2 linked regions of the Kluyveromyces lactis genome follow. The protein of the gene in region 1 interacts with the protein of each later gene in a biochemical or structural test. Links are inferred from orthologs where the notes say so. Each region holds a gene or a part of one and is shown on either strand. Other genes may lie near its edges.

Evidence for each region.
Region 2: of the proteins of CKA2 (region 1) and FIP1, one has a biochemical effect on the other in vitro, tested with the Saccharomyces cerevisiae proteins (4 studies listed by BioGRID). The link is inferred for Kluyveromyces lactis from reciprocal best matches to the Saccharomyces cerevisiae genes CKA2 and FIP1.

The regions. Positions count from the first base shown.
Region 1 is NC_006042.1:1,518,529-1,521,877, forward strand, and holds CKA2 (casein kinase 2 catalytic subunit CKA2), read left to right. Parts: upstream 1-1,271; coding exon 1,272-2,294; downstream 2,295-3,349. Other genes in the region: SLD7 (Sld7p), read right to left, coding at 29-811; KLLA0_F16489g (uncharacterized protein), read right to left, coding at 2,902-3,349. UniProt on the Saccharomyces cerevisiae protein: Catalytic subunit of a constitutively active serine/threonine-protein kinase complex that phosphorylates a large number of substrates containing acidic residues C-terminal to the phosphorylated serine or threonine.
Region 2 is NC_006041.1:534,358-537,608, reverse strand, and holds FIP1 (cleavage polyadenylation factor subunit FIP1), read right to left. Parts: upstream 1,855-3,251; coding exon 967-1,854; downstream 1-966. Other genes in the region: BUD4 (Bud4p), read left to right, coding at 1-753; transcription factor IME1, read right to left, coding at 2,752-3,251. UniProt on the Saccharomyces cerevisiae protein: Polymerase-regulating component of the cleavage and polyadenylation factor (CPF) complex, which plays a key role in polyadenylation-dependent pre-mRNA 3'-end formation and cooperates with cleavage factors including the CFIA complex and NAB4/CFIB.

The DNA.
Region 1 (3,349 bases):
CTATGTATATGCATGTACTTCTTGAAAGTCAGGTCTTCGTAAACAGTTTCAGTAGTGTTTCTACACAGTCTTGGATCGATTCAAAACTAATGGGTTCAGTTTCTCTGAGTTCGTCTCTGAAAGCGAATTCAGACGCCTTGTACGTCATCTTGTACAATTTTTCGTGTTGAGTTCGATGAACTCCTCGTAGCCTGAGTCCTGAAAGTATGCACTGAGACAGCAACGACATAAATTGCTGCTGTTGATCGTTGAGCAAGACTTGTTTGTTCAACGAGTTACTTTTCAGTATTCGCTGACGTTTGTTCTTCTCTAGAATCGATTCGATCGACATCGTTGCTCCAGCGTTACTTGGCACAACAGATTGTAGTTCGTCGGCTGATAACGGTATCAATTTCTTATCAAGTTCGTGTTTAGTCGATAAGTGAAGTACCATCGATTCAATTTCGAAAGACGCGTTTATATCGGTCTTCAAACGCTTGTAGAATAGGAAATATTCGAATTGCTCTTTCGTCAACACTTGGGATCCCGTTACTTTACATACAATTCCTCGATTCCTGTGTCGTTGTCTCATCAACTTCGCTCTGAAATAATTGACGCTGGTCTCGCTAGTAGTGAAGCATTGGTACCGTTGACCTCTATTGAGCCAAAACGGCAGCTTATCAATGTTGACCATTCCAACAACTTCTGCCAGACAATTTTTCACTGCAATTTGGCCATCACCGTCCTCAAATTCACGCCACAACTGGACGTCTCTTATCACAGTGTTATGACCCACATTAAGCCTCAAGATAAGTTCTTTTTCTAGTGTCATAGGTTCATCGCGCAACTCTCCAGGTCCAATTCCCCTAATACCAGGCCTACCGAGGTCTTCTTTCACGTTTGCTACTTTCACTTAACAATTTGAAACTGACCAGACAATGTATTCACCTCCTTTATAGTCTTAGTTTCCCTGTATATGAAAGTCCGCCGTTGTATTGTGGTTCACGGTGCAAAAGCTTAGCTTATATCCATTGTTACCATACGAATCTTTTTTCTCTCGACGCTTTCACGGCTCCAAACAAAATGCTTTCAGTTTTCAACATTGAAATAAAGTGAAGGCAAAGAAAAAAAATGTTATTGCTCAACGTAATTGAACAATAGACAGCCAGAAGTTGGAAGTGGTTAGAGACTACAGAGGCTAGAGAGTACCGTTTTGGATCACATCAGACTCTAAGTTTTGAAAACGGGAAAAGGGAGGTCATCTCTTTTTTTTTTTTGATTTCCTTCTCATCATGTCGACGTTACAACCTTCTGCGTTGAATAAGAAGAGCAAACGAGTTTATAGCGTTGCTAGGGTGTATCAGGATGCTTGTGAGAAACGCCCTCAAGAGTACTGGGATTATGAACAATGCGTGATGATTGATTGGGGTAAGATTTCGAACTATGAAGTGATAAAAAAGATTGGTCGTGGTAAATACAGTGAAGTTTTCAAAGGGAAATCTGTATTGAACGATATACCATGCGTCATCAAGGTTCTCAAGCCAGTGAAGATGAAGAAAATTTATAGAGAGTTAAAAGTGTTAACTAATTTGACAGGGGGACCTAATATAATTGGATTATTGGATATTGTTCAAGATCCAGGATCCAAAATCCCGGCATTGATCTTTGAAGAGGTGAAAAATGTCGACTTCCGTACGCTTTATCCATCGTTTACATTATCGGATACGCAATTTTATTTCACACAATTGTTAACTGCTTTAGACTATTGTCATTCGATGGGTATCATGCATCGTGATGTGAAGCCTCAAAACGTCATGATTGATCCTAATGAACGTAAGCTAAGGTTGATCGATTGGGGATTAGCAGAGTTTTACCATCCGGGAGTGGATTATAACATCAGGGTGGCGTCTCGTTATCACAAGGGACCTGAACTCTTGGTGAGCTTAAACCAATACGATTACTCTTTAGATTTGTGGGCTGTCGGATGTATGATAGCAGCTATTGTTTTCAAGAAGGAGCCATTTTTCAAAGGAAGCACGAATGCAGATCAATTGGTGAAAATTGCCAAGGTACTTGGTACGCAGGAGTTATTCTATTACTTGAAACATTACGGATTGGATCTTCCTGCAGAATACAACGATATCATGAAGAACTACGAACGGAAACCATGGAGCTATTTCGCCAATGATAAGACGCCGTTGGCTGTGGACGAAATAATTGATTTGATCGACCATTTACTACGTTATGATCACCAAGAGAGATTAACTGCAAAAGAAGCCATGGAGCATAAATTCTTCAAAAAAGATTTCTCATAGTGTATGCCTAAACGGTAATATATATCTGTTTTCTCATCTCTCTATCATCAAATTTTCTTTTCCCTCTTATCTTCCATTTATGGTTAACTTTGGGGGATTCTTCTTCTGTCTTTGATTGCTTTCCAATTAAAAGCATGTATACTAATAACATATAATTAATACAACACCTGAAAAAGAGGACAGAAACACATGTCTCTTTTGCTTAAGATTTAAAGAAGATGTAATATTATGATAGTCGTTAATTCATTAAAAAGGATATATAATTAATAGGTGTAATAGCTACCAAACCTGAAAGAAAAGGCTCTTACTAGCGCAGGCGCAGAGAGAGAGACACTACTATAAGTAGGAAAGGAAATAGACCAAAGGAATATGAAACAGGGTGGAAATAGTTACAAAAACCCATGATCGAAACTATTATTGCGGTGAAAGTTCAGTGATGAGAATTGAAAATGCCATTATTATTAGTCTATATTTCTCAATCACAGGGAAAAAAACAATCTTTTGGTATCAAATGCGTAAAGATCCCAGACCTTTGACGGATTTCGTGTAGTATGCTGTGTTAGTGGATGGGATTTTTTAAGAGGTCAGATTTCTTGGGCGAGTCAGATTACAGTTCCATTTCGTAATCTTCATCGTTTTCCTCGTCACTGTCGTGGACATCAAGAATGAAGCAATCCTGCCTCATAATCATTTCGTTGGCCCATGTATCGTTGATGGCACTAGTTCCATCATAAATGACACCACTATGATCGATCTCTCTTGTGCGAACACTATCATCGAACCTTATGTTCTTATTGTTCGAGTGGTGGGAGGGTGGAGAACCGAAGCCAGAAGAATTAGTCTTTACCAAAATAGGCTTGCTATTTTCAAAGATGGATGAAGCATCTGAATTGGTTGGGGAAGAAGAGTAATTGTTATACGATTGAGAATAAGACTCCAAGTCGGAGTCCATGTCCATAGCAGAGAACATAGAATCGGGTGACGATTTCTTCTTAGGAATCAACTGAGTAGCAGCAACACAATCATCCGATAACTGAGGCCCATATAGTACAGTC
Region 2 (3,251 bases), on another chromosome or scaffold:
AAAAGGTTTGTTACTAAGAAATTGAAATATGACGATTGGGACTTCAAATTCGCAAAGGATGGTTCATTTGCACGCTGCCAGGTAAATGTCAATAAAAATATGCTGAAACAAATCAAATACAAAACAAATGAGCTACACTTTGAATTCCTCAATGAATGGGAGCGCGAATTTGATGAGAAAATCGCACAAACATATAAAGAAGACGAATTATGGAAACTTCCTCGGAAAAATCCATCTAAGGTTTGCTCTCTTACAGTTGATGTGATGTATCTTCCAAGAACTTCGTCCATGGAAAGATTCCCAAAGAATCTGAAGGCAGTTCAGAAGTGTTGCGAGAAGTATCTTGAACAGCAAAGGGTCAATAATGAAGGATTCCTGTGGCAAGAAGGCGGTGATGTAGAGGGAATGTTGAAAAGAAGATATATGATTTTGAAAGGCACTGAACTTATAGCTCATGACGAAGTTACCAGAAAACCACAAACTTTGTTGAATCTTCTAAACGTAGTAGATATATACTCTGATGGTAAAACGGCAACTGGAAAACAAATGAGAAACTTTACTGATATGGTACTTTTCAGCGATTGCTTCAAACTCCTTTTTGCAAATGATGAAGTTATAAATTTTAACGCTGATTCTAATCTTTTAAAACAACAATGGGTTGAAATTTTGACCAGCGTTGTTGAACTGAATAAATTCCATCAACCATGGATCAAAAGAGTTTTTGAAAACGAACAATACAACATTACTTTTTAAACTGTTATAGTATTCAGATATATAGTTTGTCTTTGCCATTTTTTTTGAAGTATAGTATATTAATGTCATTTCTCTAATTATAACAAATGTCAACATGAGGTCTTTAAAACTAAGCTGTGTTACAATTCCATCAAGGAATCGAAAATACATGTACATGTCCGCTATATATCATTAATGTTGCTTGCAATCAATACGAGCCTCAAGCACTAAATTTCATTTCTTGTCGTTGAGATTATTATTGTTGTTGTTGTTAATGTTGTTCATGTTGTTCATGTTGTTCATGTTGTTCATGTTGTTCATGCTTGATACATTTTGATTTTGCATGTTATTCATCATACCCGGAAATGGAAATCCTGGGAAACCACCAAACATGGGGGGAAGTCCCATAGGCGGAGGAGGAGGTTGGATTGTATTCTGTACAGGTTGTCCTGAACCTGGATCATTTAACTTTCCTTGCTGCTGTAAAGCTAGGAGGTTCATCAAAATCTTTTGTGGGTTGTATTCTTTCGTCAAATGTTCTTGTCTATGTAAATATTCCATCCAAGTCTGTTCATTAAATCCATAATTGAAATAATCTGAAATATTCGCTCCTGGTTGTCTCCAGGGCTTCTCCTTTAGAATTTCTGGATCGATCTGTACTATAGGTTTCCCATCGAATTGTGCATCCGGGTTCAAATCAATAGTTTGTTGTTGCTGCTGCTGCTGTTCAGGTGGTATTGAACCCTCCTGTACAGGAACCACGTCCGATATACCAGCCACTGCTGCAATAGCATGATCCGCTGTACCAAGAGGCGTTGTGTCTGTTATAGCAGATATCTGGGACTTACCAGAATCTATCTTAGAGGTATCGTTACCAGTTCCGATGATAATCTCAACATCTGAATCTGAGTCACTGCTGTCATCCTCATCTGATGAACTATCCTGATTGGAGGCCTCACTCTCTACCTCATTCGTATTACCTTCCGGTACATCATGAGCTAGTATCTTGGGTGTTTCTTCGACCTTTTGTCTTTTCAATGCAGGACCCTCTTGCTTTGCGACTACGTTAGAATCCTCCTCATCGCTGTATAGAAACTTATCGTCTTCATCCTCACTGCTCATAACGATTCGTTTCTATATGTCGTTCGTGGACTGGTAGAAGATTTATCAATAAATGCTTGGAAAGTTTGGAAGGCTGCGCAACCCAAAAGGTATCTTAACAGGAAGATAGTTCTTCTTCTCATATAGAAATCAACTAATAGTTAACTCTCAATGCTAAGATTTACCAAAATGATGCTGTTAAATCGACGCATATCCGGGTAAATTATTGTCGTATTCAATGACAAACATTTCTAATGAATATCTGTCACCGGACAGCGGACAGCGACTCAGCTTGTTTGGACGGAATGTATAATATGGGTTAAATGTGTAGCTAATGAGAATACATGATTTACAGAAGAATTAGATGTGCATGTTGCGGACAGTATCGATTTCCGATGTTAACGAACTTGAAAGAATATGCGATGGTAAGAATTAAAGATATGGAAAAGTAACAAGGGAAACCAAAGAAAAAAGTGCATCTTATTGACGAAGCATAATACTTTGTCCTGTTTTTTCAGAGTAAAAGTGTGAATTAATTAAAAAAATTGACAGAAAACAACAGAGGAAACAAACATTACAGGCGAGTGAGTGTCTTTAATGTGTTGAAAAGAGTCAGACATTGTTGAGAATGAATGTTCAAAAAAGTCGATTGTAAACTGCAATTGAGAAGTGAATGTTCTTTTTTGAAGTGTTTATGGGACCTGTAAGGTTGACTAAACATGGTCACCTTGTGTCCGCACCCACAGAAACAAAGTAAAAAAAAAAATGGAAGGTAATTTGAAATGAAGTAGAGAATTAGAAAGGAATGAATGTAAGAAATATGATGAAGAAGGAAAAAAATATGCAGGTGTATCATACAGGCAGTCTATAGCAAAGGGGGAAAAATAATATCTGGATAAAAGGATGAGGATTGTTCCATCAAAAATACGTCTTGGAGAACTTGTAATCAATTTCTTGGAATCTAATCTTATCGAAATAATCCAAATCGTTAGAATCAGCCAAGAAATACCCAAAATAAGGTAGTAACTTGTTAGTTAGCGTGTAAACAAACTGATCCTTTTCCGAAACGACCGAATCTTTCTTTGAAGATGAAGAGGAGAACATGATGGGTGCCACCAATGCACGTTGCTGTTTTTTCTTCACTGGAGCCATGCACTGCAAGTCATTGTCCAAATCTTGCTCGTCTTCTTCCAGTAACACGTTGATACTTCTTGTAGAAGAGAAAACAGAACTGTGTCTTGTGTCAGCCAGTGAAGGTGGTGTAGAAGAAGAACAAATAATTCTCTGTTCATCTTCTTCTTCAAAACTCGTCTGTAAAAATTTCAAATTGTGAACGTGAATCAAATGGACAGGCTGAGTATGGATCATCGACGGCATATGGATGGACCTTGGCTGTAAATCGTGTCGACTGATAACAT